3 linked regions of the Cricetulus griseus genome follow. The protein of the gene in region 1 interacts with the protein of each later gene in a biochemical or structural test. Links are inferred from orthologs where the notes say so. Each region holds a gene or a part of one and is shown in the gene's direction. Other genes may lie near its edges.

Region 1 (11,357 bases):
GAACAGTCATAAAGGTAAATATGACCTACGGAATCACCCAGCTTCCAAGTCGTCGGGCAAGTCCGTCAGGCTCCCAGCGGAAGTGGCTACAGGCGGGGCCGAGAAAGGCGCGATGACGTTGCAGTGATGCGGGCGTAGCCGTCTGTGAGCGTTTGGCGGGATTTCTGAAAGTCGCGCGTCCCTGGGCGAAGTGCGTGCAGACGGGTTCCTGTTCAAAGCCGTGTTTTCCGGAAACGCAGCTGGGAAGGCTAAAATTTGCTCCTGTTCTTCACAGAAGACCGGACAGAGGAGCCGGTGACGGTGGTTCTTGTGGCGTGAGCAGACCCGGCCGCCAAAGGAGCGCGCGGCCCACGGCGGCTGCGGACCGGTGAGTGCGAGCGCGAGGGCGAGCGCGGGCCGCCACTCCCTCCGCCGCTCGGGTTCTTCAGCTGGAGGCCAGGGCTTCGGGTTCCCTCTTCGCTGAGAAACGCGAGGACGGCCGAGCCTGGGGCCAACCGACCGACGCTAACCGATTTACTGAGCTCGACGTGGAGAAAACCGAATCCTACTTCAGGCTTTTGTTTTGAGACCTGGCTCACGCCCTAGGCCAGGCTCTGCTGGAAAATTCCTGCCTTAGTTTCCCAAATGTTGGAATTACAGACTTTCACGTTCATTTCCGTGGCCCCGACGCAAGAAGCCGAGAGCCTGAGATAAGTGCCCACAGCTGTTAAATATTAGGGTTGTTTGTTTGTTTGTTTGTTTTTAATTTGAACATAGTGGTTGGTGCCAGTGATTTCTGGAGGCTGAGGTAGGAGTTCAAAGACTGTGTAAACAGCAGAGTAAAGACTAAAAAGTGCAACACATATTTCTAAAGAGAATCCTAGCTAGATGATTCACACCTGTACTATAGTCCTAGCACTTGAGAGGAGAGGCAGGAGGATGGCACTTTCAAGGCCAACCTGAACTACATATGGAAGAGCATGTTTCAGGAAAAAAGTGAAATAGGGGGGCTGGAGAGATGGTTCGGCGTTAAGAGCACTTGTTGCTTTTGCAAAGGACCTGAATTCAGTTCCCAACACCCACCTGAAACCACCCATAACTCCAGTTCCCGAGGATCCGGTTCTTTATTCTGACCTCCGCAGTCACCAGGCACACTTGTGATATACATACATATATAGGCAGGCAAAAAACTCATGTACAAAATGTAAATATAAAAAGAACTTTCAAAAAATAGCAGTAGTAAAGTGAAATATAAAAATACAAAATCCACAAATGAGTGCATGCATGAATTATTACAAAATGAGTATATCTGTGTAATCAGGACGTAAAAGAAATCAAATGTTGTCATTTTAAAAACCTCTGTTATCATTCATTCCTTGTCTAATATTTCCCCCTCACCCTAATGGCTAAAGAGTGATTTCTAATACTGTTCACTAATTTGACCTATTTTTACAAAACCTTATTAGGCAGGGTCTGACTTTGTAACCCAGAAACCGGTCTGGAACACTGTATCCTATGGTTTCTGCCTGCTGGGTTCTGGGACTACAGGAGAGTGTCATCATGCTAGCCTTGTTTTGGTTTTATTTACTTACTTTTAAATACTTTTTTTCTTTAATTAATTTTTTTTTTCATTTTACATACCAACCCTAGTACCCCTCCCTCCCCTTCTCCTGTCCCCCATCCCCCTTCCCACCTCCAATCCACTCCTCAGAGTCTGGAAGGCCTTCCTTGGAGAGTCAACAAAGTTTGGCATACCAAGTCCACTCAGGACCAAGCCCCTCCCCCTGTATCAGGGTTGAGCAAGGTATCCCATCCTAGGAATGGGCTCCAAAAATCCAGTTCATGCACTTGGAACTGGTCTCGGTCCCACAACTCCCCGGAACCCCATATGGGTCAAGCCACATAGCTGTCACCCACATTCAGAGGTCCCCCAGCTGTCAGTTCATAGTCCACGAACTCCCACTAGCTCTCCTCACCTGTCTCTGAGATTTTCCCCGTCATGCGCTTGACCAGCCTTGTTCATATTATCCCTCCTCCCTCACTTTAACTGAACTTTCTTGTTTTTCAAGATTTATTTATGTGTATGGTGCTCTGTCTGCATGTGTGCCTTTATGCCAGAAAAAGGCATCAGATCCCATTATAGATGGCTGTGAGCCACTATGTGGTTGCTGGGAATTGAACTCAGGACCTCTGAAAGAGCTGCCAGTGCTCTTAACCACTGAGCCATCTCTCCAGCATTGTTTTTGTTTGTTTGTTTGTTTGTTTATTTATTTGTTTATTTATTTTGATTTAGAATCTTAGCCCAGGCTGACCTTGAACTCTATTTCCTGATTCTGCTTCCCTAGTGCATCTTTGCCTGTTTTTAAATTTCATGTAAATATACCAGTAGTAGTGAATGTGTAATTGTTCCTTATGCTTGCCAACACTTGCTGTTTTATGATGGGTATTTAGTAATATCTTACAAACTTTGGAGTGGATGTAGAGGTTTCTTATTGTGTAGCCCAGCCTGTCCTTGAACTTGTGGTTCTAATTTTCTTGGTTACTGATGAGATTGCATGTTTGTTTATATTTTTTTGCTGTAAAGATACCTTCTTTGATTATCTGATTTCTGTTGTCCTTTTTTTTCTTATTTGAAGTAGTTCTTTATGTTTGTATTTTGATTATCCACCTCTGATTATGTATGTGGCAAATATTTTTTTCTACTGTTACGATTACGATTTTATTTTATTTTTTATTTTTTTGGTTTTTCGAGATAGGGTTTCCTCTGTGTAGCTTTGGAGCCTATCCTGGCACTAGCTCTGGAGACCAGGCTGGCCTCAAACTCAACAGAGATCCGCCTGCCTCTGCCTCCCGAGTGCTGGGACTAAAGGCGTGCGCCACCAACGCCCGGCTAGAAGTTTTATTTTTATTTATTTATCGAGACAGGGTTTTAGGTAATCCAGGCTAACCTCAAATTTGCTATATAACAGGATGACATTGAATTTCTAATCTCCCTGCCTACCTCCTAAATGCTGGGATTACAGGCATGCCCACCATATCTGGTTTTATACAGGGTTAAAAGCTTAAAGATCTTTTTCGTAGTTATTTAACCTGCTCAGGGACCTGAATTCCATCTTCAGGATGGAATTGTGCTGAAAATAAAATATAGTCAGTTTTTTTCATTTGCTTTGTGGTGCTGAGGATTCAACTCAGTGCCTTGTTCTATTCTATACAAGAACTGTACCACTTGCCATATTGCTAGCCTGTGTTTTCCTACTAGAGTGTTGTTGCTTTGTGTATCATCCTAAGAACATAAAACTATTCTGGGCTGGGGAGATGGCTCAGTTTCTAAGAATACTGGCTGCTTTTCCAAAGGACCCAGTTCAATTCCCAGTTCATAATATTAACTCCAGTTCTTGGGCATCAGACACCTTCACACAGACATACATGTAGATAAAATGCCAGTGTACATAAAAATAAATAAAATTAATAGTAAAAAAGAAAATACTCTGATTTGAAATTTTACTCACTATGTAGTATGGGAAGGCTTAGAACTTGCTGCTTTGTAAAAATATATCTTTAAAAAAAATCAGTTTGAATCAGCTATCCTTGGCTGCATGCAGCCCACAGTTGTTAGACACACCTGACTTTTTAAAGCTTATTTTTATGTGTATGAATATGTTGCCTCTATGTCTGTAAGCATAACGTTCATGTCCAGTGCCTGGAACTGGAGCTATAGACAGTTTATGAATTTCCATACGGTTGCTGAGACCTGAACCTGGATCCTCTTTAAGAGTAGCAGTTGCTCTTTACCTGTGGATAGTGTTTGTTGGAAAACTAACTTTTTACCCAAGAGTATTCCCCTAGTGTTCATTCATACTGATGCCTATCTGTATTTTTTAGTAATGGCTATGCAGATGCAGCTTGAAGCAAATGCAGATACTTCAGTGGAAGAAGAAAGCTTTGGTCCACAACCTATTTCACGGTTAGAGGTATGTTCTTAGTTGCTAAGTATTTATTTACTTACAATGCTGTAATACATTCTTGTATGTAATGGAACAAGTTAACCGTTACAGAAATTTCAGGAGGTTGTCAGTTTCTATGAAAAAGCACAGGATTGTTATATATGTCTTGTCTGGTCAAGTCTCTTTTGACAATTCTCTTCCTACTCTATTTTCTCCCTAAAAGCTGAACTTTAGAAACAAGGGTCTGGGATCCCATGGAATCATACTGCTGCTTACACTAAATATAAAAATGCTGATTAGGGAATTAGTGGTGTAACCCAGGAATGCATGTAGGAAAGAGGAACAGCTTCTCTCCATTGGCTCAGGTGGAAGATACTACTGAGAAGGCTGTTGTAAGTCAGGTTGAAGGGTGTAGGTTGTTAAGATATAAGATCCAGCTCTATGTCAACATTGAGAATATGAAGCATTAGCTGGGTGTGGTGGCTCACAGTCATAATTCTAGCATTTGGAAGGCTGAGGCAGGAAAATCTCTGTTGGAGGCCACCCTGGTCTACATAGCAAGTTGTTGTTTAGTGAGACCTGTCTCAAAAACAAACAAGCCACAAAAAAGGCAGCAGAAAAACCAGAGACTTGGGGAGATGCTCTGTGTATAAAGTCCATGTCATGCAAACAATGAAGACCTGAGTTTGGATCTCAATCACCCATAAAAGCCAGGCAGAATGACATATGCCTGTAATGCTAGCATTGAGGAAGTGGAGACAGGGGGATCCTTGGGGCTTTTTGGCCAGCCAGTCTGGCCAGTCTGAGAATCAGGTGTAGTGATGTTAAACTGCCTGAGGCAGACACTCAACATTGCCCTCTGGCCTCTGCATGTACACTCAAGCACACATGAGCACATGCACATACAACACACACACAAACAAAAGCAAAACGTACTAAATCTGTGCAGTATTTCTTCTGTCTCAGTTTATATACTTTTCCAATCTGCCCAAACTTTTAAGACTTTGGAACTACTTAAATGAGCTGAGCTTGGTGGCACTTGCTTCCATGGTGGAACAGAAAGAATCAGGAGTCCACAGTTCTTTGCTCCTATCAGGTTTGAGCTGCATGAGACCCTCTCTAACTTTGTGGCACTGCTTCTCTCGTTCCACCTTTACTTAAATGGGGTGTGATCACCCTTCAGAGTTCATGGTCATTTCTTTTTAAAGATTATTTGTGTATATTTGGGGCTGGAGAGATGGCTCAGTGGTTAAGAGCACTGCTCTTCCAGAGGTCCTGAGATCAATTCCCAGCAACCACATGGTGGCTCACAACCATCTATTATGAGATCTGGTGCCCTCTACTGGTGTGCAGATATACGTGGAAGCAGAATGTTGTATGCATAATAAATAAAATCTTTTTTTTAAAAAAAAAAAAAGATTATTTGTGTATATTCAGGTAAGCCCATCTAGGTGCTCATACCCAAGGAGGACAGAAGGGGGTGTCAAATCTATTGGAACTTGAGTTAGAGGGGGTTGTGAGCCACCAAACAGGGATGCTGGGAACTGCATTCCAGTTTTCTACAAGAGCAACAAGCACTCTTAACTATTGAGCCATCTCTCCAGCTTCTATAATGTTTTGTTTAAGATTGATTTATTAATTTTTTAATAGGAAGATGAAATAAATTTTCCACCAAGTAATTTTATAGGACTTTTAAAGACACTGGGACTAGTGCTGCACAATCCAAGTTTAGTATATTGAAATGAAGGTTTATTGAAGGAAATGGTGCTAGCTAAATAACTTTAGTTCCTAGCTCTTCATTGTAAATATATAAAATTGTCATTTCTAACAGGTTGTATTATCTCATGATTATTTGATTCATATTTTTTTTTTTTTTTTTGTCCTGCTCCTTTATTATTTTTCTTTTGAAACAGAGTCTCTACCTGGAACTTACTATATACACCTGGCTGGTCTTGAACTCACAGAGATGCCCCTGCCTCTTCCTCCTAAGATTCATTTTGTTTTTTTGAGACAGGATCTTACTATGTGGCCTTGGCTGGCCTGGAACTCACTATGTAGAGCGGGCTGGTCTCAAACTCATACAGATCCACCTGCCTCTGCCTCCTCTGCTAGAATCCTTCTCTGGCTGGAGATTTATTTATTTTCATTTAATGTGTGTGCTGGCTAGCTTTATGTCAATTTGACACAGCTATAATCATCTGAGAGAAGAGAACCTTGATTGAGGAAATGCCTCCAGAAAATCAAGGTGCAGGCAGCTTGTAGGGCTGCAGCAGTTCCTTCCTCCAGGTCTCTGTCTCTGTTTGAACTTCTGTCCTGACTTTTGTCAGTGATGAACAGTGTTGTGGAAGTGTGAATCAAATAAACCCTTTCCTCTCCAAGTTACTTTGGACATATATAATAACCCTAAGACATTATATATGAGTGTTTTGCCTGTATGTATGTATATCTACCACATGAATGACTAGTGTTTGTGGAAATCAGAAGAGGGCATGGGATCCTCTGGAACTGGCGTTACCAGGTAGTGTGAGCTGCCATGTGTTTTCTGGTTACTAAACTTGAGTCCCCTGCCAAAGCAACAAATGCTTTTAACCATTGAGCTACCTCTACAGACCCCATCCCCAACTTGACACAACCTAGAGTCATTTGGGAAGAGGAAACCTCAACTGAGAAAATGCCAGTCCCAATTCTGTGGGGCATTTTCTTTTTCTTTTTTTTGTTTTTTCAAGACAGGGTTTCTCTGTATAGCTTTGGAGCCTATCCTGGCACTTGCTCTGGAGACCAGGCTGGCCTCGAACTCACGGAGATCCGTCTGCCTCTGCCTTCCCAGTGCTGGGATTAAAGGTGTGCACCACCAACACCCTGCTCCTGTGGGGCATTTTCTTAATGATTAGTGTGGAAGAACATTGGGTGGTGTCACCCCTGGGCAGATGGTCCTGGGTTGTATACAAAAGCATACTGAGGAAGCCACTAGGAACAAGCCAGTAAGCATTCCAAGGTCTGTATTTTGATGTAACATGAATTAATAAAGGACCCAGAGACAGATATTGGGGTTTAAGCTGAAGATCAGGGAAGCAAAGCAGCCAAGCTTCCAGAGGGCTGGGGTATTCCTGTTCTCAACGTGGCTGGAGAATGAATGCCTGATACTGACCTTGCTCCTGTCTTACATACTTCGCCAATTCTCGGATTAAAGTTGTGTGATCCCAGGTGCTGGGATCAAAGGCATGAACTGTTTCTCTTAAGGACTGGCTTCTATGCCTGACTTTGCTTTCTGAATCCTCAGGCAAGCTTTAATAAATCATAAATAGAGGGCTGGAGAGATGGAAATAAATACAAAATCTTTAAAAAATAAATCATTAATAATATATCTTTACAGTTCCCCTTTTTTTGTCTAATACAAAAAGAAGGCTACAACTGACATAAGAAAAACTATTTATAGAAAGTACAATATATAGGCAATAGGTTCATCAACAATGTATAGTCCATTTGCATTTGACAAGTTCAGAGAAAATATTTAGTCCACTTTGATTCCTGTCCTGTCTTCCCTCAGGACAGATTATACGTTGTAAGCTGAAATAAACACTTTATCCCAAGTTGCTTTTGGTCATGGTGTTTATCACAGCCTCTATTTATTTTAGTTTTGAGACAGGGTCTCATGCAACCTAGCATGGCCTTGAATTCTCCATGTAGCTCAGGATAACCTTGATTCCTGATCCTCCTGATTGCACTTCCCAAGTGTTAGGCATGTACCAGCATAGCTGCTTTTGTTTGTGTTGTTTTATTTTTTTAGATTAGTTTTATTATTTTATGTATATGTGTCTAGCTTTCATGAATGTGTGCATCATCTATGTGCCTAGTACCCTCAGAGGTCAGAAGTGGGCATCAGATCCTCCTGGAACTGGAGTTATAGGCAGTTGTGAGCCTGTAACACATGTGCCTGGGATAGTACATGGGAGCCAGAGGTCAACCGCAGTATTTTTTCCTCAGGAGCCATCTATCTATCTATTTATTTATTTATTTATTTATTTAAGATACACACTTTTTGGCCTGGAGTTTACTGGTTAGGCTAGGCTGCCTGACTAGTGAGTCTTAGGGACCCAAGTGTCTCAACCTCCTCAGGGTAATAGCAGACACTATCTCCCTAGCCTAAAACTTAGTTTTGATGATGAAAAAGTGTATAGCTTGTTATTTAATAATTCATATGTAGACAAGTTTTTAGAGGCTTTTTGTGTATTAGTGGTCTTCAAATACCTAAGTTGTAATATCCGTTTTAGACAAGAGGCCTAAGTTACCCATTGTTTTCTTACAGCAATGTGGCATAAGTGCCAATGATGTGAAGAAATTAGAAGAAGCTGGTTTCCATACGGTGGAGGCTGTTGCTTATGCACCAAAGAAGGAACTCATAAATATTAAGGGAATTAGTGAAGCCAAAGCAGACAAAATTCTGGTAAGTATAGCTATGTGATGGTGGGGGAGGACAGATGCATTAGTGAGAATAATTACTGCAAAACAGTATATAGTGAATGGTTGTTTGCTGTTTCAGGGTCCTTGGTGGTGGGGCAAGTAGACACCAACAACACAGGAACAAGTTGAAACAACAAAGTGAACAATAAAGCTCACTTTATATGCCTCCCACTCTGCCCCAGGGGGTGGATCCACTGAGCTGGCATCTGCTGAGGATGTAGTCACTGTCCATAGGTCTACATTTTCTCTGGTTAGACTCTGCTGCTGTTGTCCAGGCCCTCTGGCAGCTGTCAGGAAATATCTACTGCACATGCTCTTACTATCTGTCTAGGCCAGCTGTCAGACACATTGAGGCTTAGTTATCCCACCATTTGCCTCTTCCATTCTCTTGTCATCTTTCTAGAAGTGACTGTTGGCAATTTTTGTTTTTCAAGACAGGGTTTCTCTGAGTAACAGCCCTGACTGACCTCAAACTCACAGTGATCCTCTTGCCTCTGTCTCCCAAGTGCTGAGATTAAAGGCAATGCCAACACTGCCTGGCTGTTGGGAGTTTTTATCTTAAATTCAGATTTCCTGTAGGAATGCAATATTGTGGAATTTGATACAAATGCTGCCAAAAATACTGTTTAACATTCCCAGTAGAAGTGATTGGTATGCACCTTACTATTTTGAATATGATCTCTCCTCATAAAGATTTTTCCTCTTTAAAATTATTTTGTTTTATGTGTATGGGTGTTTTGCTTGCATGCTTGTCTGTGCCCCACATACATGCCTTCAGAGGCTAAAAGAGTGTGTTAGATCCCCTGGAACTGGAGTTACAGATGTTTGTGAGCAAACATGTGGGTCCTGGGAATCAAACCTTGGTCTTCTGGTAGCACAAGTGCTCTTAACCATTGAGACATTTTTCCAGACCCCAGAATATGTTTATTATGTATGTAGCCACTAAAACAATTTAGAAGAATATTGACGTCACATCATTAGGTGCAAGCCTGCAGTTCAAACTACTGTGGGGTCTATGACAGGAAGTTGGAGGCCAGTCTCTGACATAGTGAATTCATCAAGGCCAATTTGGACAACTTAATTTAGTGAGACCCTGCCTCAAAGTACAAAGAGACTGGGTATATAGCTCAGGGGAAAGTACTTGCCTGGCATGTGCTAGGCCCTGGGTTAATTATTAGTACTTCTAAAGAAAAAAAGAGAGAGAGGTAATGATATTGATAACATGTTTATATAAGAAGGCAGGTGAGAGTTGGGAATGTAGCTCAGTGACAGAGTGATAGCTTGGTGTGCTGAAAGCCTTGGGTCCAATCACAACAACAAAAAAATCACGTTAACAATATACATTCATATCTCTTCTAATGCTTTCCTTAGCCTATATTAATGCATATTATTACATTTTCATCACGCATATATTTTCATCACACATATATTTTCATCATACCCTATCATCCTCAATTGTCTCCTTCCTACTCTTGATCCCCTTCTTTCCCCTGAACAACTACTTCCGTGGCCTTGGGGGTTGACGTGATGCAGTGAGTTTCATTATACAGTGCCATGGTGAGCATTTGCTCACAGTAGCTACACCACTAAAGAAAACATTTCTTTCCCCCATTAGCCATTAACAGTATATAAATCCAGGAGTGGGGGTAGGGCCCCATTAAAATATGTGTATTTTGTATGCATGTATAGAATGTGCACTAGAATAGATGCACTAAAATATTAATGTTGTTATTCCTCCATGGTAAGAATATGAACTATGGGCTGGCGAGATGGCTCAACTGTTAAAGCTTAGGCTCACAACCCAAAATATAAGAATATGAGCTGCATATTGTTTTGATTTGACTTTTGTCTCTGGGCTGGGAATTGAACCCAGGATTTCATGTAGGCTTTAAGTACATACTCTGCTATTGAGCTGTGCTCTAGACTTCTTTCATTTTTAAATTTTATCTGTTTTATTTTATGTGTATGAGTGTTTTTCCTGCAAGTGTATATGTTGCGGAAAAAATTTTTTGTACACTGTGAAGATGTGCCACTGTTATTGGTTTAATAAAATGCTGCATGGCCAATAGCTAGACAAGATTTGCAGGCACAGAGAACACTGGGAGAAGGGTAGAGACACCAGGAATCGCCAGCCAACTGAGAGGACACAGACATGAAGAAGAAAAGAGGTAAAGCCACAAGTCACATGTAACTGATGAATAGAAGTGGACTAATTTAAGTCAAAAGAGCTAGTTAGAAACAAATCTGTTATTAGCTGAGCCTTCATAATTAATAAGTCTATGCCAATTTTTTGTGAGCTATCGGCCCAAATAAAAATCCATTTACATGAATATGTACACCATGTGTATGCTTGATGTCTGCAGCTGCCAGAAGAGCATGTCTGATCTCCCTAGAACTGGAGTTAAAGACATTTGTGAGCCACCATGTGGGTGTTAGGAAGCAAACCTAGTCCTCTACAAGAACAGCAAGTACTCTTAACCACTGAACCATCTCTAGACTTGTGTCCTTTTTTTAATTTATAATTTTCTGACATCTACATTTTCCATAGTAAGTAGGCATTACTTTCTCCAGGTGGTGGTGGCACATACCTTTAGTCCCAACACTTAGGAGGCAGAGGCAAGCAGATCTGTGAGTTCAAGGCCAGCCTGATTTACAAAGCTACACACAAATCCTGTCTTGAAAACTCCAAAAGCTATTTTATTGCTTGGATATTAAAATCCTATATGAAGTTCCAGTGTGTATACTCTATAGCTTATTTTATCAGAGACAGTGTCTTCCTGTCATGTGCTTAGAGTATTTGTTTGTTTGTTTGGTTGGTTTTCCTAGATAGGGTTTCTCTGTGTAGCCTTGGCTTTCCTGGAACTCACTCTGTAGACCAGGCTGGCCTCTAACTCACAGAGATCTGCCTGCCTCTGCTCCCCCAGATGCTGGGATCAAAGGCATGCACTGCCACCATCACCATTTGTTTTATTT
Region 2 (11,257 bases), on another chromosome or scaffold:
CAGGACCTGACTCTGCTGCTCATGGCTGCAGACTCCCCATGTGAGCAGCAGGTACAAAGGAGGGCCACGTCACCTGTGTAGTCCCTAGGTTCAGTCCAGCCCTGCCACTCACCAAAGACCCATCAGAGCTGATGATTCTTAACGTGCTGATGGTGGGCTCAGGAGACACTGGCAACTGAAGGAGCAGACACAGCAGTGCTGTGAAAGAAAAGTGGGTAGATGTTAACCGTTAGCACTCGGGGTCCCAACTATGCTCCAGAGGGAGGAGCCCCAGGAAATGAAGAGAGGAAGGGTGAGGGAGAGACGGAGGCCAGGAGGGTGGAGAGCGCGCCGTTACAGCTATTTGTTGGGCCTTTCTTCCCTCTACTGACCACTCCACTCTGCGTCTCTTCCCTACAGGCCCCTCCACACAGCGTCAGGTGCAGAATGGCCCCTCTCCTGAGGAGATGGACATCCAGAGAAGGTAACCCCATGACTCACAGCTGCCTGCCTGAAAGCACCCTTCAGCTAGTCGAGACACAGTCAGGCCAGCACTGTCGGGCCAAAAGAAACACCTACTGCATGCCAGAGATCTGTGAGCTCAATGCAAATTAAGGATACATGTCCTTGCCATGCAAACCCATACTTCCCTAAACTCCTTCTGAAGCATGTCTAGAAACCCTGTGGTGCCAGGTGGCCCTCGAGGCCTGTGATCTTCTGGCCATTTCTTCTGAGGCCACATATTGAAGCCATAGGCCCCAAACAGCCAGGTGAGTCAATCAAATGAGCCAGAGAGTCACACGAGCTTCTTCGAGACACTTCCTGCTCAGGGTGTCCTGGCTTGCCAGTCCTCTTCCATCTCGGTACTTGAACCCAACACATCCCTCTCTTTCTAGGAGGCAGCCTTGGGAGGTGGGGAGATAGCTCAGTCAGTAAAGTATTTGCCAAGCACTAATTAAAGCCCCAGTGCTCTTTTTTTTTTTTTTTTAAACAAAAAGTTAGATATGGCATTACCCACTCTAATCCCAGAGTTTTGGAGGCAGAGACAGGCAAACCCTGGAGTTCACTAGCCAGCCAACCTTGCCTACTTGGCAAGTTTCAGTCCAGAGACCCTACCTCAAAAAAAAAAAAGGAAGGAGAGAGAGAGAGACTAGAAGAGAGTGGATGATACCAGGGAACAACATTCAGGGTGATCCTTTTGTCTCCACACACGTGTGCACATGCAAACACACACACATACCACACGTGTGCATGTGCAAACAGACACACACACACACACACACACACACACACACACACACACACACACACACACACACAGCCAGTGCTGTGGCTCTCAAGGATGCCACAGAAGCAGATTTCAAGCCTGGGCTTTCAGGCACAGACAGGTCAGGGTATCTGTCTGCTCTGGTTGCTTTTCAGACAAGTAATGGAGCAGCAACAACACCGCCAAGAGTCTCTGGAGAGAAGAGTCTCTGCCACAGGTGAGTGAGGGTCACCTTCCACCCACCCTGTCCCAAGTGGCCCCAACTCGGACAGAACTCTTCCGACTTCTGACCACCTAGGTTCAAAGTGTGCTCCTCACTTCAGATGGAGTGGAATGGAGCATAGGATTAGGGAGCCTCCGGGCCCTCCCGTTGTTCAATTCCTCCAGTAGACATGTAGGGGAACCCCTGTGTCAGGGCACTGAGAGCTAGGGACATGCTATCAACAAGGCAGACAACAGTTCCTGCCCCCAGGAAGTCATGGTTGTCCTAACGTGGAGTACACACTGTGCCACGGTTGCTGGAGACAGTCAGGGTCGGGGGCTGAGCCTGGAGAGGAGGGTTCCTGGGTGCCAAGTCAGGCCTGTCACACCTCGGGAAGGGGTGTCAGGTGCATTAATGGGGCAGGACTTTCTTATTTGCCTTGCGCTATAATTGTAGCCTCATCTTACCTAACTTGCTCAGTGCCTTTTCAAGTTCTGTCTTGCTCATGGGAAAGCAGCCTGCACTGGGGTGATACTGCCCTCTCACCTGGTACCACAGCAACTCCTCTGTGCTGCCCGGGCCCCTGCACACAGTCTGTGAGCAAGTCAGCCCCTCCCATCACCCTGGGACACAGCTCTGAGGTGCAGCCTACCCTACACTCTCCCTTCCCACATCTGCTCTAGCACCAGCTTCTCCTTTCTTTTCTCCCAGGCAGCCCATTCTCTTTGCTTACGCCTGTTTCCCTTCACTTAACTGAACACCTCCTTTCCTGTCTAGTCCCAAGAACGTCAGACTTCCTGTGTGCCTGTTCTCGGTAGAGCTTGCCTTTTAGCTCCTGTCTGTTCACCTCTGATTTGTTCTCACAGCCTGAGCTGTTTTCTTCCACACATGGCGCAGTACCTGACACACAGTGAAAGCTCAGGCAGCTTTCAGTAGAGGGTGCCTGGCTAAGGTGCACAGTGAATGCCAGCGCTCAGCATTCATGGTTTCTTAACCAAAGTCCCAGTCGGCTCTGGGACCCAGGGACCAAGGGTTATATGCAGTTACTTCAATCAATGCCAAAGATGGAGCCAAGTACTTAGAGTGGAAAAAGGGCATTGCCAAGAATTTCCCTTCCCACTGGAAAAGCATGAATGGAACAAGAGGAAGTATGCTGCGCTCAAGCAGTGTTGGGCCAGGCTGAAAAGACTAGAATAGAGAGTGAACAGGGCCAAGTTCTGCAGGGCCTTCCTGAGAGATGCAAACTGTTCTGTTCCTCATCTCTCTGATGAGCAAGCTGCCCTTCATTCTTCTCCAGGGACCCGAAATAACAGCAGTAGACTGGACACCAGCTAGGTGCCGGACACTGACTCCTCCCCCATTGCATTTCAGGGCCCCTCCTCCCACCTGGGCATCCTTCAGTGGCAGCCAGCGCCACCCTCTCATGTAGTGGACCTCCACCCCCACCTCCACCCCCAGTTCCACCTCCACCCACAGGGGCTACGCCCCCGCCCCCGCCCCCTCTGCCAGCTGGAGGAGCCCAGGGGGCCAACCACGATGAGAGCTCTGCTTCAGGACTGGCTGCTGCCCTGGCTGGAGCCAAGCTGAGGAGGGTACAGCGGGTAAGAGGGTGGGCAGGCCAGGTACCCTTCACAAAGCACCTGTCACCCTGCCCTCACCTGTCATCAGGGAGACACTCTCACTGATGTGGCTCTCAGGAGTACCACAGAACCAGATTTCAAGCCAGGCCAGCCTGCCCTTTGCCAGTTAGTAAACAAGTAAGAGGGGGACAGCTCCTTGTCAGCTACAAGCTGCCTTAATCAATAAGTCCTGAAGCCGCCTTTGCTTTTCCCATGGACCTGCTTCCCACTGAGCCAGTCTGCTCCCCACCCAGGTGCATTTGCTCTGGAATGAGCAGCATGCAGTCAGTCGGTCGTAAGAGGGTGCCTCTGATGCATATCTCTGGCTTGAAATTTGCTTCCCTCCTCTCCTGTGACCAGCTGACTTTGGCAAGGACTCAAGCCTCTGAGCCTACCATGTCAATGCCCTAGTCCTCTCTAGATGCGTGTTTTCTGACCTGTGGAGCTGGGAGTGTTAGACGAGCAGCCTCACTCCTAAGGTCTTTCTTCCCCCTGCACCCACTGTACCAGAGTGTGACACACGCTTCCTCACCCTCAGCCAGAAGATGCTTCTGCAGGCTCCAGTCCTAGTGGGACTTCAAAGTCCGATGCCAACCGGGCAAGCAGCGGGGGAGGTGGAGGAGGCCTCATGGAAGAGATGAACAAACTGCTGGCCAAGAGGTGGGTCCCATGCCTTCCACAGTCCGCGTGCCTCTTGGGAAGCTGCCGTCCTCACCTGAAGGTCATTGCTAAGAAACATCCAGGGGGCATTCACAAGCCCAACCAGCATAAGGCACACTCCCAGGGTTAGAGCGCTCTCTAGAGAATGTGGGGGAAAGTGTCCAGTAGCTTCATCACAGGAAATGGATTGACAAGATGACTTGAGCCCAGAGACGGGAGAAGGTAGGCCCCTGTGTCAAGGTTAGCTCTGGGCCTGTTTTCTGGTCAGCACCTCGGGTATGGTTCTAAGTGTGGCCAGCACCAGGAATGCTGACTCTGGTCACTAAGGCTATGGCTGATCTGAAGAACCAGAGGGTACAGGAGTAGACCTGGTGTCAGAGCACTCTGCGCCTGAGAAAAGCTCAGCACAGACAAAGCCACAGCAGAGGCCTGCTCCCTGGGGCTCCAGTGGTACAGCAGGTAAGGATTCCTGGCAGGGTGGGCAGGCCAGGCACCCTTCACACATCAGCAAAACACTTCTCACTGTGCCCTCACCTGTCATCAGGGAGACAGTGAACAAAAGGCGTCCTCCATGACCAGGTAGATGGACCTGTCCCGGGTGAGGGGACAGTTGTGAGAGTCCTGGCCCTTGGTTTGCTTTCTCATCCCCCTCCACCTTCCAGGCTGACCAACCTGAGAGAATGCTGTATGCCTAATTCATTGTTGTCCTAATGCAATCTCATTAAATCCAAGAGGGAGGCTCTGTGAGCATGAAGAGAGGAGACAGGTCCAGAAATGCAGACGGGTAGCCAGGCTGTTGCCTCATAGTGGGACAGAACCTGGCCGCCTACATGCACACAGCAGCATCTGCATTGAAGACTAGTACAGAGGGCCGTGAGGTGGTCTGTGGCACTGGCCTTCCCAGGTCTCTTAGAAGGGTTACACAGTCATCAATTGTCCAGACAGGAGCCAGACATGTAAGCAGCCTTCACATAGCAGTAAGTCAGGGTCTGCATGAGGGAGAGAGTGGGCCTCACAGAGGGGGCTCCACCTGTACTCAGCTTAGAGGAGTTTGGTTCTCTGGGCTGGGGGATAGCAGAGGTGCCAGGCAAGGTTTTGAAGCATGCGTGCAGAACTGGACTGGTAGAGGCCGGCTAGAGCTCAGGCTGAAAAAGTACCTCATTGCCAGATGGATTGCACCTCAGAGCACCCAGAGACGAAAGGGCTTCAGATAAGAGCAGAAAAAATGTTTACACCTTCCCAGTGAGCTTAACAACTTGGCCTAGATGGTGTAGCCCAAACTACACCAGGAAACTAAAAACAGGAAAAGGTCAGAGTTGCCAGGAGCCATGAGGACGCCAGGTGCTGGGGTGGGGGGTGGAGGTGGGTCCAGGCCCTACAAAAAGCAAATGTGCTGTGCACATTTGAAGATCAACCAAGCAACTCTGGGATCCACCTCAGTGAGACTCTGAGGGTCCTGCAGCTTTTGTCTCCAGCTTTTCCTCTAGCAGGAGAACAGGGGATGTGAGCACTTAGGGCTGCTATGTTGTAGCCAGTCCTGCCACAGGCGTTTGCCTATAAATCTTAGCAGTGTAGCGCAGAGTGGCTTGGTCTCCAGTTGTCACTTTTTACAGTGTTGGGATGGAACTCATGGCCTCACACACGCTAGGCAAATGTATTACCAATGAGGCACACTCTCAGGCCAGGCTACCCTCTGTTTTTAAGAGATGAAACATGGGCTTCTGAGCATCAGTGCTCGGAATGGGGTAAAGTGACTGAGTAGACCCGTGAAGACCAGTGTACTCCAGGTGATGGTAACTGGCATAGAGCTTTCGGCAGTGAGAACAGGTCCCACTGGGAAGATCTAGAGAGAGAATTAATGAGACTCCATACCCCTGGGTTGTGGGAAGAGTCCTTTTGAGATGAGACAGCTGTGTGAGCCCTGCCACTGCAGCCAGAGGCAGCTCCTCACCATACACTAGGCCAGCTTCCCTCCTGACAGGCCACTCACCTCTGGTTTATGATAGGCTAATGCTTTGGGACCTCACAGAGTTGAAAATCCACCAGAGCACATTGTTGTGAAGGAGCCAGGTGGAGTGCTGTAAAGTTAGAGACCTGTGAGGAGAATGAGGATGTTGAGCAGAGGGCACCCTTAGTCCCTTGGTGTTACCCTGAACGGGGAAGGGTGTGACTAGGTTAACTGAGGTCCCAGACAGGAGAGCAGCAAGAGAAAGTGTGTGTGTGTGTGTGTGTGTGACTTGATGGTGAGGACAAGGTTTCCCAGCCAGACAGCTGTAACAGGACCTCCTGCAGCTCTGACCCAAGGTGACACACTGTGGTCCAGGGTACCATTCTATCCATAGGCCTTGAGTGTCTTGGGAGTAGAGCCTCTCAGCTAAACCCTGTCCTCAGGGACCTAAACAAGGTACAGCCAGCTCCTTTCTCCCTCAGAAGCTATGGCCAACACCAGCTGAGCTGAACATAGAAACACCCCAAGGGGCTTCCTTCCTGCCTGGACTAGTTTGGAGTCTAGGTCATGGGTGAGCACAGAAAGTCTTACCCTCCTGGCCTTGGCTCATGTAACCTGTTCACGTGAATGGACACCCTAGTCCACACACAATCTCCTGGGGAACCAAGTGTGGCATGGGGGCAGCCCAGAGTTCTAGGTCACTGTGAAACCTTGGGAAGCTGATTTTTTTTTTTCCCTCCCCAACATCTAGGAGAAAAGCAGCCTCCCAGACAGACAAGCCCGCTGACAGAAAGGAAGATGAGAGCCAAATGGTAGGTACCACTCTCCCTACCCCACTCACACCCTCAGGCTTACCTCCATTGTAAGCAGATCTCCCAGCAAAGACCTGGTTTGGAGGAAGCTGGGAGGGAGAAACAGGGATCCCTTCATAGTGCAGATCCAGCCAGGCTTGAGCCTGGAGCATTCTCTTGACCAGACCCTTGGAACTGTCACTTAGCAGGAAAAGCAGAAGTAGGCAGGAAAGCCCCATTCGCCAGGAGTGCTTGGAAGAACCCAGGGGGCCACTGTACTTCTGTACCAGGGCCACATCAAAGGATTTGGGTGCATCTGCTGGAGGCTTATGGAAGTCATGGCGGTTTTATTTCAAATTCCTTATAATTCTAAACACCCCACTTGAGTCTGTCAAGCCTACTGGCAGGGAGCTGAGATCCCCGCCCTGGCAGAGGATCCTGGAAACCTGGGCTCTGTCTTTGGCAGGCATATGGAGCCCAGTCTGGCAGCACAGCCCCCAGCCTCAACTTCTGTTTATGGTCACCAGTTTTCTTTAAGTGCATGATAAGCTTTCTTAAAACAAATAGAATTCTACTGGGACTACTGAGTGTACACCTCAGATACACACAGCATGAAGGCTGGCTGCCCCTCCTAGGAGAACTAGAGAGAACTGTATACCTAGGACCCGTGTATGCTTCCTGCCTCGCTCTCCCTACCTGCCAGCCAGTGAGGTGGGCTGGTGCCGCCGGGTCTGGGCATGTGCAGTTCTCTCTGCCACCAGCTAGCTCCTCAGCCTATACTTCTGCATGACCTTTATTCCCTACAAATGGCCTCTTAGACCCCAAGTTAGGAAGGTCACCCCCATTCTTGTAGCTCTCTGCTTCTGCCATGCCCTTCATACATTCAGGGTTGCCTTGCAGACCTGCCAGGGACCAAAGTGACCTGTGTCTTGCACCCCTGGGGACTTAAACCACACATGCTGGGAATACAAAGGCCTATGTGGCCAAGAACCACAGGGTGTCTGCATCGATGTGTTAGGACCTGGCACCACATTCCCTTGAGTCAGCCCTGTTTTTTCTTAGGTGGCAGCCTGTACTCCCCAACCTGTACTCCCCAGCTTCACAGCACCTTGAGGAGTGGATTTCACTGCTGAGGCTCCATTGAAACCCTTTCATGGGCCTCACTTTTTCCCGCCTTTTCTTAGGCAGATCTTTCTGTGTAAATCAGGCCTGGGTAGGGTGCTGGGGGCCAAGAAGTAACCCTTCCTGAGCCCCCTCCCTCCTCACTGCTCACAGTCTGGACAGGGAACCTGCTGGGGTGTGAAGGTTTTGTCCTTTAATGCCAGACATCTATCTACTGATCATATCCCTTGAGGACATTTGGAAAGCAGCTAGTGCAAAGATGTCCGGCCTCATCCCTAAGCAGCCTTCCTAACAGACTAATGAAAGGGCCCTTCTCTCCCGTTTTAGGAAGATCCTAGTACCTCCCCATCTCCAGGGACCCGAGCCACCAGCCAGCCACCTAATTCCTCAGGTAAGAGGGTACCTGGCCCAACAAGTCTGGAGGTCTTAGAGCAAGTGGTCAGCTAATCTAGCCACTTCACTCTGCATGAGCAGAGAGGGTCAGGACTACTGAGCCTCAGAGCTTCCCAAGGAGACCAAGCAGCCAGCTGGGCAGGTGTGACAAGGGGACATTGACCCTGGTCCAGCTGAGGGAAGGCACTGAGAGTACCATCTACAGTGGAGATGTCATGGTATGGCCTAGACAGGGGCTGGGCTGCCGGGAGGTTGTGGAGTAGTAAGGTTTTTGGGTTTTTGGTTTTTTGTTTTGTTTTGTTTTTCAGTTCAGAGCTTCTACATGTTAGTCTCCCAAGCTACCACTTAGCCACACCCCTGGCCAAGGAGCTATTTAATGTCATATTTTGTGTCTGCTGTGAAATGCTAACTAGACTGATACTATAGTTAGATCACCAATTGACCCTACTCTATCAGAAGCCCAGCCTGGCCCTACCCTGGTCACTGAGCCAGCTGTGGCAGAGGGAATGTGATTAGGAGAGTATCGTGAGGCTCAGCTGTGGGAAGAAGACCCAGACCCTGTTTGTTGAGGCTTCAACTCAGAGTGCACTCGGGGTCACTTGCACTGAGCCTGGGGCTCATGTGTGCGGCGAGGAGAGGCTTACCATAGAGAAGTCAGCTTGCCCACCTGACAGGTGGATCCTTGTGAGCTCCTGTCTGTACCAGGGTGCATGTCTGCCAGCCTTCTAGGACTTCCTGGGCTGTTGCTCCCTGTGTTGCAGATTCTTTGGTCAGTGTTACTGTCCTCTGTTGTCCTACAGTGTGGGTTAAGGGATTTCCTATGCTTAGCAGTTTTGGGCTGCCTGTGGTAAAGTATTCTGTTTGAGGCCACACATCTGGGGTGTAGCTGTGGTCTCAGGTCCTGTAAGCCCAGTGCACCTGCCAGGTGGCTTTGAGGTAACCTGCCTCAGACCTGAGGTTGGTCTGGAGACAAGGCTCAGCTTAGAGCAGGGCAGCCTCACCGTCCCTTTTCTCAACCCCTGGCCAGCCTGTTCTGCTCAATTTGGTATATTCCCTGTTGGAGCATGAACTGTAATCTAGTGCAACAAAGGTTGAGCTTCCCCAGTCCAAAAACCCCAAATGCTCCAAACTCTGAACCTGCAACACCCCGTGTCTCAGATGAGATGCCTGCACCACTAGACTTAGAAAAGGAAAAGTGGTTTCCAGACTCATTGTGAGGGGACTAGTGTACCAAAGTGCAGCGGGATCCCAGGCAGCCTGGCCAAAGGACAAAACTAATGGGAGTGTTGGGAGTGGTCCCATCTGCTCCTTGTAGCTGACACCCCTGCTTCCCTAGCAGCTGGACCAAGCTCCAGGGAGGGGACTCAAGGGAACAGGAACCCTGGGGTTGGGAAATGGGGTGACAGTAGGGCTGCCTGCAGTTCCAAGGGTCCCCTGACTAAAGGAGACTGAGACTCAGCCAGGTTGCAACTCTGCTGTGAGCAGCCTTTCCCGCAGGCTGGGCAGGCTCCTGCAAGGGGTGTTTAGGAGTGGGGTGTCACTGAGTCCTCTCCACTCTGACCCTTTGTGAAATGAATTGGCAGAGGCTGGCCGAAAGCCCTGGGAACGGAGCAACTCTGTGGAGAAACCAGTGTCCTCGTTGCTGTCCAGGTGAGCTGTTCTGGGAAGGGCCAAGAGACGAGACTCATGGGTGGGCTTTATCATTCGTTTACATATCTGTTTCATTCCGTTACCATAGAACGCCATCTGCGGCAAAGAGCCCCGAAGCTAAGAGTCCCCTTCAGTCACAGCCTCACTCTAGGTACCGACAACCCTCCTGCTCATGTGTTACCTGGGCTCTGAGGCCTTCTCTGTCGCCTTGCCCATGACTAACACCTCCCAGCTCTGTCTCTTGTCTTGGTATTAACAACTTGCTCGGGGAAGGGTGGGTGGTCTGTTCTTTCAGACCTGGGGAGAGAGAAAGCTAGAGACCTTCACAATGGTGTGGGCTGGCTCCTTCTCTCCTGGGTGTGACTTCTAGAGGGAAAGGGAAGAGAAGCAGCCATCAGTCCCTACCACCCAGGGTAGCTGTGGGGACTGCTGCACCCTCATCCAAGCACCCTGCTCCTTCAGACCATTCCTGGTTCCCTTCCTTTGCATTCAGCACACCTAGCCTGTCTCCCTCACAAGTCAGCTGACCATGTTTCCCAAACCAAATGCCAGTGTGACAGCAGGAGAACTCTTAAACTATGCTGACCCAAAAAAGTCAGAGATGGTGACTAAAACCAAATACCGCCTGCATTGAAGGCCCCTACCCCCACACCAGGATTTATCTCCACTGGCCACCCCAGATGGAAGCAAGCAGCCCTTGTCACAGAGCAGGTGACACCCGGCTTGCACGGTGAGACAAGGTGATAAGAGGAGCAGAGCTCCAGTGTGGCCCTGACAGGCCTGCCCATAGTCAGCCAGACTGTACGCCAGAGATGACTATGGCCCTGGAGAGGCTCTGGAAAAGACTGGGGACAGGGGTAGTCCAGGGTGGGAGCTTTAGCGAGGGGTTGGCCAAGCCTCTGGGTGAGAGAGAAGCTGCTGCACAGACATGAGAGGCAGCCTCCAATGTGATCATGAGGAGCTGGTCCTGAAAGCAGGTAGATGCTCAGGGTGTGATCCCACCTTCTCAGTGTCCAGGTGTCCTTCCCTGGACAGAGACACAGGTGAGCCCTCTCTCTCAGAATGAAATCTCTTTGCAGCTTCAAGCCAAACCTGATATTTTTTTGTTTGTTTTTTGGTTTTTCAAGACAGGGTTTCTCTGTGTCCTGGAACTTGCTTTGTAGACCAGGCTGGTCTCGAACTCACAGAGATCCACCTGCCTCCCGAGTGTTGGGATTAAAGGCATGTGCCACCGCCCAACCTGGCCAAATGTGATCTTTAGTTTCAGTGAAGAAGATGTACAGTAACCACTCACTCAAAGCACTCATTGCTGTTCATGATCGCTGTCAGTGTGGAGGCGTGACAAATGGCCCAGTCGCTGCTGAAGGAAGGGGCTGAAGCTTGGGTTATTTGCTTATCATGACCCAGAATCCCTGGTAGACCTGTTCAGCACCATTTTTAACATCTGTGTAACTCACCCCTGGACCACAGGCTTTAATAGCTATTCTGTCCACATGGGCAGGGAATTGGGTCTAGAATGTGTCTGCCTTCAGCACCTCCACCATGTTCTGAAAGACCTGGGGTTAGATTCACATTGTGGCTAGTGAGTATCGGGGAGAATGAGTGCCTGTGCGGGAGCCACTGAAG
Region 3 (10,420 bases), on another chromosome or scaffold:
GTGTTGCTATTTTCCTTTAACTAAAAAACAAAAGAACAAAATACTGTCTTAGAATGTTATGTAACAAACTTTTGTTTTTGGTTGACAGAGTGGTTTTGGTCTCCAACTATAGACAAACCTTGAATATTTTAGAAGGCATATGCAAGCGCCATGGATATGCTTGTGCCAGACTTGATGGCCAGACACCAGTCTCTCAAAGGCAGCAAATAGTGGATAATTTCAATAGCAAATACTCGACTGATTTTATTTTTTTATTAAGTTCAAAAGCTGGTGGTGTGGGACTTAATCTTATTGGAGGATCTCACCTAATTCTCTATGATATTGACTGGAATCCAGCTACTGACATCCAGGTAGGAATATTTATGCATTAAGTCCATATTATGTATGCCTAGGAGATCAAATATGATGATGTGTAATTAGTCGTTGGGTATTGGGCTCTTGTTTTGTATCAGACACACTTTAATCATCACAGCATCTCCACATGTGGATGTAAGTAGCCCATGTTTTCTATATGTGAGGAAATGGAAGTTTGTTCTTCCAACATAAGAAATGAAAACCAAGCTTCATGTCACACTGTACAGCTAGGCTTGGAGGAGTTCCTGACCACTGGGGATAACGGTAATCTGTATGGATGCTATGAATGATTTGTGTATACTGCAGTGAGTCCACAGCATTAACTTCTTTAGGAAACTGTGGAGAAGCCCAAGATTTTTTCAGTATACAGTCCACTTTCATGTATTTTGAGGGTTTTGACATACAGATTTTTACTATAGTTGGTATTTCATTATGGGGTCCTAAGACAACAATTAAGTTTTATGATTTTCTAGGCTTCAGAGAATTGAGGAAAGCAGCCATATTCACAGTTATTATTTTATAAGGATACATAGCGCAGAGTCCAGGAGGGACCAGGCACAAACTCAATGTGTCCATTCCCTCAGAGCTGTCTGGACAGCACTTAATTCATCACTGATGAGTGATGGCACAGCTGGAGCATTACCAGCAAGGTTTGCTCTTCAGGGTTTTGTAGGGAGTTGGTTCTGTAGACACAAAGTGCCTCTATGACTGCCTGATGGATTTATTCAGTCTTGATTCCTTCCCTCCAGAGGTCAGTCAGATTCATACCATATGAAGCCGAGTGTATTCAATACGAGGAAAGTTGAAGGATGGTTGTAGAAATAAAAACTGCACTGAGTACAAGCTTAAGTTTCAGTAGGAGACAAAGGAGTTGAGGAAAGGGAATAACCCTGATTTCAGAATACAGGATACAGGATGCTTGTGGACAGACAGAAAACAGGCATTTTATTGGTTCTTTAAGTGGCCTCTGGTTTGTTGCTCATGGGAGTGGTACTCTTTGAAATCTTTATCTTACAAGTTAAGGTATTTTCTTTTGTAAGCTTTAGATCAATAGGTAGTTTGTGTGAAAATTGATGGCTGGGCATGCTGGCATTGTCCTGTACCTAGTGGGGTTTTCCCCTTTTGATAAGGTAACTAAGTGACAGCCACATGCATACATTGTTAAAGAGAAACTCAATATCAGATTTCATGGATTAAGGGCATGAAAGCCTAGCATCTCTTGTCCCTATGTGTGTTGCTATTACTCTTCAGTTAGAAGCATTTTGGGGAGGAGTGTGCAAGGTTTAAGCATTAATGCTTTACTGCACAGTATCATAGTTAATACTTAAGCTAGAGGGAACCTAAAGTGATTGCAGATGCCTTATGGAATTTTAAAGAGTGAATTATTAGCTGCTTGGACCCTCCATACCCAGGCTGTACTTAGTTCTTTGCATCATGGTTGTCATGTTTTATCAAGATACCCATCTCACTGTTTCATGGACTCCTGCAGCTACTTCACATGCCTGCACGAGTGCTCGTTCAGCCTCCCTCTGAGCCCAGGGCAAAGATGTAAAGAGGGCAAGTGTATGCCATTGGTATGTGTGTGCAGCTGGAGGACAGCTTGCAGGAGCTCTTCTCTCTTACAGTGTGGTTCTAGGCTTCAAACTGGGACTGTTAAGCTGGTGCTTTTACCTGTGGAGCATCTTGCTGGCACCCTGCTTTGTTTTTTGAGTTATTAGTGAACTCCAGAATTCTCTATAGTAAAATATATTCCTGCAAATTGCTTTTGTGCAAGGGCCATCAGTTTCTACTATACTCAGAATTCTTATTTTGTCTAGGCTATGTCTAGAGTTTGGAGAGATGGTCAGAAACACCCTGTGCATATTTACAGACTCCTGACTACAGGTAAAAAACCTTCATGTGACAAAAATGTATCTCCTTAAAAATTTCCTTTTGTTAGTTTGTGCTTCAATATCTGGAATATACTCTTTTATCAGACAATAAGTAGCAAATGTGTTTTACCCAACACAAATAATAGACACAAGAAGGGAATCTAATGTGTGTTTTCTCCCTAGGTACCATAGAGGAGAAGATCTACCAAAGGCAGATCAGTAAGCAAGGCCTTTCCGGGGCAGTTGTAGACCTCACCAAGTCATCTGAACATATCCAGTTTTCAGTGGAGGAGCTTAAAGACTTGTTCACGTTGCACGAAAATTCACAGTGTGTGACCCATGACCTGCTCGACTGTGAGTGCACAGGAGGAAAAGGTCACACTGGTGAGTAGTTTGTTGATTCCACTACCACAGTACTTTGAAAACATTTAAAAGGTGACTTACAAGGAGCTGCCATTTGCATGTATTAGTTTTCTTGGTCCCTTGAGTTGTGGGGCAGTTACTAGGTGTACGCTTGAGAAAATGTTCAATAGAATTTTACTCTCTGTTTAGTTTCTTATTTCTGAATCTGTTGTGAAAAAAAATTAACTTGTTTAGGCAAATCTCTCAGTGCCTGGTAGAGTGGCTTCAGAGTAAGAAAGATGTTTTAAATTTTATTGCAATTTCATAAAAATCCCATACTTAGTAGAATTACCTATTGTTTGTTTAACCCATGTAAGATTTGTGTATAAATGGCGCCAGACTTTAGGAGGTGCTTAGAAGAAGCAACTGTACTTCTCAGTGCTTGAACTACATGTGATGTTCAGTAAGCCTGAAAGCATGTCTCTCTACACTTAGACACTGTTCACAGGACAACTAGAAGAGAATCGGGAAGTGAGGAAGCAATGTCCAGGGATGGGGAGTCACTTGCTAATTTATACTGTTAGGGGCTGGAGAGATGACTCAGCAGTTAAGAGTGCTCTATGCACAGTCATGAGGTTTGGATCCTGGCACCATGTAACAGACTATCATCTGGCCTTTGTGCAAATGTACACAAGTGTACCCCCCACTCAAGGGCACATATACTCACCTCACACCCATGTGCACATAAATAATAAAGAAAATCTTTAAAAGATTAAAAAATATTGTGATGTTTAAGAAGTTACTCTTTTTTAAACTTCTTCCCTCCCTCCCTCCCTCCTTCCCTCCCTCTCTCTCTCTCTCTCTCTCTCTCTCTCTCTCTCTTCATTTCTTCCTTCCTTTCTTTCTTTTTGGCTTTTTGAGACAGAGTTTCTCCGTGTAGGCCTGGCTGTCCTGGAATTCCCTCTGTAGACCAGGTTGCCCTTAACTCACACAGATTTGGTGCCTCTGCCTTCTAAGTACTGGGATTGAAGGCCTGCACCAGCACCTTCTAGCTTTTTTTAACCTCTTACAATTGGAGGTATGTGTGATGTAAATACAGTACTTATATATGAAATTCTCAGAAACAAATATATGTCCATACATATCAAACTCAGAGATTCGCATGCCTCTGCCTCCCGAGTGCTGGGATTAAAGGCGTGCACCACCATTGCCCGGCATGACTTAGTGATTTTCAAACTTATTTTCTAAAATGGTTTTTAACCCTTTAAATTTTCTTCTATATCAAGCCCCATAAATTTAATATGTAATCTTCTCATTATTAAGTTTTAAATATTTCCTGTTTCCTATTGTTATTTCTTCTTTACTCATAATTTAAGAATATTCTTTCAGTTCTAAACACATGTACAATAATACTAAATGGACTCAGCAGTTGAGTGTGAGTGTGTGTGTGTGTGTGTCTGTGTGTGTATACATGGGTGTGTATGTGTGTGTGTGTGTGTGTGAGATAATAATTATAGAAGAAGCCACTCCCATTCAAAGGGAATGAGTGGGATGTGAGAGAAGTTGGAGGTGTATAAATGATGTAAACACAATAAATTCGCTGTAAGTTCCTAGAAATAGCAATATGCTGGGCAAGGGTGGGTCCCTTTGCTCCTCAGCTGTGTTATCTTCCATTGTATGGATAGATCATAGTTTCTTTACCTGCCACACTACAAATGTGTAATTAGTTATATACTTTTACTTACATACTGTTTTCATACAGTCAAGTACATATCTGTTAGATAACTTGTTAGTGCTACTACGTGTGGTTCACAACTGTCTAACTCCAGCTTCAGGGGGTGTGATTCCTCTGGCCTCCTTGGGCATCTGCACTTATATGCACATACCCACATCCAGATACAAAACATGCAATTGAAAAAGAATAAAAAAAGATCTTTAAAGAAACCTACTTGATGAGTTCATCAGTAGTCTCTATGGCCCATTCATAGGAAGCCATTTTGCAGTCTGTTAGCAGGCTTGCTGCTGCAGAAGATCAATGTTTTTGATTTATGGAGTTCAAACCCCCATGCTTGCTTTTGCAAACCTGTCAGGCCTTACAGAATTGGTTTATTTATTGGTGCTGGAGATACATCCAAAGACCGTATACACACAAAACCAGGGCTCACACAGTGACTCCATCTTTGGCTCTATCCCATAGGGCTTAGATAATGGATTGTGGACTGGTAAACCTTTCTTTGTGAAATTATTTGTTTGGTCGTGTGTGTCAGGGGCTGGGTACTTATTGAGTGGGCAGTAATTGCCCATCAATATTTGTAAAAAGGATGAATGACTGAGTGAGTGTCTTATCTAAACTGTGTGGTCAGAAATGACATATCGCATGACTCACGAAGAGGTCTCCTGCTTTTACTCATTTCAGATGATGTGTTGGACACCCCTGCCACCTCTAGACAGTGTCAGCTCGGCCCTCAGCACCAGAAGTCTAGCTCCCTGAGACCTCTGTCCATGTCACAGCTGAAGCAGTGGAAGCATTTTTCTGGCGACCATTTAAATCTTACAGACCCATTTCTGGAAAGAATAAGGGAAAATGTGTCATTTTTTTTCCAGAATATAACCAACCAAGCTCCTTCCATCTAGTGAAGGACTACTTTCTAACATCCCTTTGCCCCCCTTAAAAATTAATAAAGGAATTAAATGTAATTTTGAAAGTTAGAAAATTATTTGAATTATAATAGTGAACTTTGTTTCACAATATGCCAATTTAAATACAATAAAAACTGAGTGGTTTGCTTTCTTGTGTGTATCCTTCAGTGTTGAAAATGAAACGTTCATGTGTGAGTCTGTGACTGATACTCTTCACCCAGTGCTAGAAGTTCCATTTGCATTTCCCTGGTGGTTAAGGCTGTCACACATTGTCCACCATGTTTTCTGGCTGTTTCTTTTTTTGAGAACTGTTTGTGTAGTTCAATTAGCCCATTTACTGATGGGATGGTTAGGGATTTTTTGCTGTTTAATTTTTGTGGTTCTTTATGTATCCTGGATCTGAATCTCCTGATGAGAAGCTGACAAAGACTTCCCTTCCTACAGGCTGTCTCTTCACTCTGGCATGGTTTTCTTTGCTGAGTATACGGGCTTTGCCTTTGTTGTTGCTTTTAGAAATGGAGACTAAAGAAGGGAAAGCATGCCAGGAATGGGAGTGGGTGGTAGAGCTGGGACATTGTTTCCTGTGAAGAAAAGCCCTGCCTATGCCCATGTCTTGAAGGGTCTGTTTTCCTCTAGCAGTTTACCAAATTTCAGGTCTTGATTTTAAGTAGATTTTTGTGCAGAGAGAGATGAATCCAGTGTCATTCTACATATGGAAACCCAGTTCCTGTAGCACCATCGTGTAACATGAATAATAAAAACCCAGAGGCAGATATTAGGGTTCAAGATGAAGATCAGAGAAGCAAAGCAGCCAGCCAGTAGAGAGTTCTCACCTCCATCAATGCTCAGACCAAAGGGGCGATCCACCTAACCTCAGAATCCTAGACTGCCATGCTCTCCTCAGTGTGGCTGGAGACGAATTGCCTAAGACTGACTTTGCTTCTTCCTTATATACTCTCTAGTTCTGGGATTAAAGGTGTGAGCTCTGTTATTCTTTTAGACTGATTCACTCTTATGTAGCCTTGGGTGGCCTTGAACTCTGAGAGATTCATCTGCCTCTGTCTCCTGAGTTTTGGGATTAAAGGTGTGTGCCACCATTGCCCAGCTTCTATAGCTAATTAGAGTGGCTAGCTTTGCATTCTGGTTTTTTGACTTTGTTTTGTTTTGTTCTTTTGAAACAGGGTTTCTCTGTGTAGCCCTGGCTGTTGTAGAACTCACTAGGCTGGCCTTGAACTCACAGAGATCCATCTGCCCCTGCATCTGAGTGCTGGAGTTAAAGGTGTGCACCATTACTGCCTGGCTTAGCTTTGCATTTTGATCCTTCAGGCAAGCTTTATTAAATCATAAATAATATATTACCGTACTGTAGGGAGACACCATAACCACGCCTCCTAAGGGCTGGCTACAGGTGTGCCCGACCACGCCCATCAAGGTGTGGTCAAGGTGTTGTCAGGGTGACATGTGAGAAATTTAAAGGCATAGGGAACGCACATGGTAGCTCTCTTTTTCCCTGCTGCTTTGGCTTGCTCTGCTTTCCTGCCGGTTGGCTACCTAATTAATTGTGATACCACACCATTGTTAAAAAGTCCATCTTTTCTCTGCAGTGTGGTTTTGATAGCTTTACCAAAAATTGGATAGCTGTAGCTACAGGTTTGTTTCTGGGTCTGATCTTCTGTCTGGCCTATGCCATGGTTTTGTTGTTGTTTCTACTGTGGTTGTGTATATGCTTTGAGATCATATGTTGTGGTAACGATCACTTCAGCTGTTGGGCCCTTTGTGCTTCTAGATTTACTTAGGATCCTTTTTCCTAGTTCTGTGAAGCATTATCATTGGACTTTAATGAGATTTTATTTAGTCTGCAGATTGCTTTTGGTAATATAAACATTTTTACAATACTAATTCTACTAAAACATGATGCTGTATTTCCATCTTCTAGTATGTTCTTCAATATATTCTTAAAGTGCCTTGAAGTTTTCATTCTAAAAATTAATCCCGGGTAGTTTTTTTTGTTTTTGTTTTTGTTTTTCAGCTCTTGTAAATGGGACCCCCCCTTGATTTCTCCCTTGATGAGTTTATTATTGATCTAAAAAATGCTACTGGTTTTTCTGTAATTTTTTTGGTAGTGTCTCAGGTCCATGCTGGTCTTGAACTTGCAATGTAGCTGAGGATGACTTTGAACCTCTGATCCTCCTTCCTCCATCTCCCAAGTATTAGAATTACAGGAGTAAGCTACCAATCCCAGTTTATATTGTGCTAGGGATTGAACCCAGGGCTTGGCACATGCTAGGAAAGCAGGCTACCAACTGTGTTGCAGTCCCCAGCCTCTGCAAGCTGATTTTATGTCTTGTCAGTGTGTTAAAAGTGTTTATCTGATGCAAGAGTTTCCTTTTTAGAATAGCATGTTAGGAGCTAAGAACTATTAGGAGGTATGGCCTTATTTGAGTGGGTGTGGCTTTGTTGGAGGAAGTGTGTCACTGTAGAGATAGGCTTTGAGGTCTCATATATGCTCAAGCTTCGCCCAGTGTGGGACACAATAGCTTCTGCTGCCTGCAGATCCAGATGTGGAATTCTCAGCTCTTTCTCCAGCACCATGTCTGCCTGCACATCACCATGCTTTTCATTATCACAACCTCTGAACTGTAAGCCAACCCCAATTAAATGTTTTCCTTTATAAGAGTTGCCGTGGTCATGGTGTTTCTTCATAGCAATAGAAACCCTAACTAAGACAAAGACTTTGGACCTTGCTAGGCCAGGGATCTGTGGGGTTCAGACTCACTTCTCCCAGATGTTGAGGCCCCTGTTAATATCTGGGTTATATATATATATATATATATCTGTTTTCCCAGTCATCGACTCAGCTTTGTAGCACTTAACACATTCTCTCTTAACTGCTGACTTGCTTTGTTCTACTCTTATTAAGCTGAGTTCCTTGAAGACAGGCTTTCATTTTGTCACATTCATTCAATCTCTGGGCCATCTGCCGCCCAAAGCACACAACAGCTCCTTAGAGCTCAAATGACTGATGAACTTAACCCCCTTCTCATCTTCAATGGTCTGTTGGGTTCTTTGCTCAAAGAACCGTGTTCCACACTGTTAAAAAGACCAAAAGAGGAACTGTGAGGTGTTCTAGAGGTCTAGGCATTGTTGCACAAATCTGGGACCCACATGTAGGTGGAAGAAAAGACCTAACTCCCCATGCATGCCCACATGTCGCACAAGGTTAAGGTTTGCCTTGAGTCTCAGAAGAGACTGGGCTTTTGAAGTGTCGGGGCTAAAAGCCCAAGGGGACTTTTGAAGTTGGGCTAAATGCATTTTGCATTGTGATGTGGTCATGACCCTTATGGGTCCCTGGGGGTGGAATGCAGTGGTTTGAATGAGAAATGTCCCCCACAGGTGCTTGAAGACTTGGCCCCCAGTTAGTGGCACTGTTTGGGGAGGATGAGGAGGCAGACCAACCCAGGACTTTCTTAGAGGCCCAGATGAAAGCACAAAGGGAACTTTACTTTTGTGTCTTTGTCCAGGAGTAGACTTGGCCAGGCCCGTCTATGGCTGGAGCCAGTGACTTGGAGGAGCCAAGTTTGCAGTTTCTGGGGACCCGATTCTTCCCCCTGGGCTGTGGTTATCAGTTGAGCAGCTGTGTCTGAGATTCCTGTGTTTTCTTTGGTAACATTGTCTGATTTAGCTCACTGCAGACCTTGGCCATTGTCCTCCTGTAGGATGCTATTAGATGCTGTACTTCCTAACAAGCTTGCCTGGCATAAGTCAGCAGCTTATGCAAGACCTTCTGGTCCCAGCCATTGCTTTCGTTTTATTTCTCATCCCTGGTCCTCCCACTTGACACCTAGCCACCTTGCTCTTTGGGAGCCTTACTCCTGCGGGTTTGGGTCAAGGGAGGTTATGGAACTTTTGGAGTTAGAGCCTTGCTGGAGGAGGTATATCTCTGGGGCTCTGAGAATTTATAGTTTGCTTTCTGCTGTGTTTGTGGTTGAAGATGTGATCTCAGCTTCCTGCCATCATACTAGCCAGCTACCACTATGGACTCTATCCCTCTAGAACCATAATCCAAAGAAAAGTTGTCCTTAAAAACAAACAACAATGAAACCACCAAAGAATGCTGATTCTTTTTTCTTCCTATCAATCTGTTATACAATAGGTAATAATATGTGGTGGTTCGAGTGAGATTGGACTTCTTAGGCTCATATATTTGCATGCTTTGTCTTGATGACAGTTGATGAGCTGTTAGGAAAGGGATAGGAGGTGTGGCCTTGTTGGAGAAGGTGTGTCACTTCTTTGAGGTTTCAAAAGCCCATGGGAGGCCCCACAGTGTCCCGGCTCCTACCTGTGAATCTGGATATAGCTCGAAGCTGCTTCTCTAACATCCTGCCTATGTGCTGCCATGCTCCCTGTCATGATGATGAGGGACTAACCCTCCGAAATTGTAAGCCAGCCCCCAGTTATGTGCTTTCTTTCATAAGAGTTGCCTTGGTCATAGTGTCTCTTCACAGCAACAGAATACTAAACTATGGAAGAAAGTCACAGGAAACTAGTCCTAGCCATAAAAAAACAAACAAACAAAAAACCCCAAAACAAAACAACAAAAAACCCCTATATTACACAAGGACTAAGCCAGAAGTAATAGCAAATATAATATAGAATTCATTTCTAGTTACATATACCTTTTATACAGCTTTACACTTGTACCCTCAGGTTTCTTTCTTTCTTTTTTTTTTTCTGGTTTTTGGTTTTTTGATTTTTTGAGACAGGGTTTCTCTGTGGCTTTGGAGGCTATCCTGGAACTTGCTCTGTAGACCAGGCTGGCCTTGAACTCACAGAGATCCGCCTGCCTCTGCCTCCCGAGTGCTGGAATTAAAGGCATGAGCCACAAATGCCCGGTTGTAGCCTTGTTTTGAAGTGACAGTGTAAATATATTTAATCATATTCACATTAGTACTGAGTCATTGAACTTAAAACATAAATGCCTCTGATCCCCCGTAATTCAAATTCTGGAAGGCCATCTCCTATACCCCATTTATCAGGGCATGTATAATAAAGGAGCAAATAAAGCCCAGCTGCATTTCCCTCAAGTGTCAATTAAGACCCACAGTCCCACTGCCCTTGCAACTTTGTCTTGATCTTGTGTTGGCCAGATTGCAATCCTAAGACTGACAGGAAACACACAACCAGCAGATGGCACGGTTTCTCCGATTTGATCC

What was found.
Region 2: the proteins of Rad51 (region 1) and Evl form a complex in vitro, tested with the Homo sapiens proteins (2 studies listed by BioGRID and IntAct). The link is inferred for Cricetulus griseus from reciprocal best matches to the Homo sapiens genes RAD51 and EVL.
Region 3: the proteins of Rad51 (region 1) and Rad54b form a complex in vitro, tested with the Homo sapiens proteins (2 studies listed by BioGRID). The link is inferred for Cricetulus griseus from reciprocal best matches to the Homo sapiens genes RAD51 and RAD54B.

The regions. Positions count from the first base shown.
Region 1 is NC_048599.1:59,370,696-59,382,052, reverse strand, and holds the start of Rad51 (DNA repair protein RAD51 homolog 1), read left to right. Parts: upstream 1-3,863; coding exon 3,864-3,950; intron 3,951-8,229; coding exon 8,230-8,367; intron 8,368-11,357.
Region 2 is NC_048598.1:186,088,502-186,099,758, reverse strand, and holds part of Evl (ena/VASP-like protein), read left to right. Parts: intron 1-399; coding exon 400-463; intron 464-1,401; coding exon 1,402-1,463; intron 1,464-2,819; coding exon 2,820-3,049; intron 3,050-3,605; coding exon 3,606-3,727; intron 3,728-6,426; coding exon 6,427-6,487; intron 6,488-7,915; coding exon 7,916-7,979; intron 7,980-9,564; coding exon 9,565-9,631; intron 9,632-9,719; coding exon 9,720-9,782; intron 9,783-11,257. UniProt on the Homo sapiens protein: Ena/VASP proteins are actin-associated proteins involved in a range of processes dependent on cytoskeleton remodeling and cell polarity such as axon guidance and lamellipodial and filopodial dynamics in migrating cells.
Region 3 is NC_048595.1:125,736,954-125,747,373, forward strand, and holds the end of Rad54b (DNA repair and recombination protein RAD54B), read left to right. Parts: intron 1-88; coding exon 89-350; intron 351-2,171; coding exon 2,172-2,238; intron 2,239-2,408; coding exon 2,409-2,609; intron 2,610-4,983; coding exon 4,984-5,201; 3' UTR 5,202-5,374; downstream 5,375-10,420. UniProt on the Homo sapiens protein: Involved in DNA repair and mitotic recombination. May play an active role in recombination processes in concert with other members of the RAD52 epistasis group.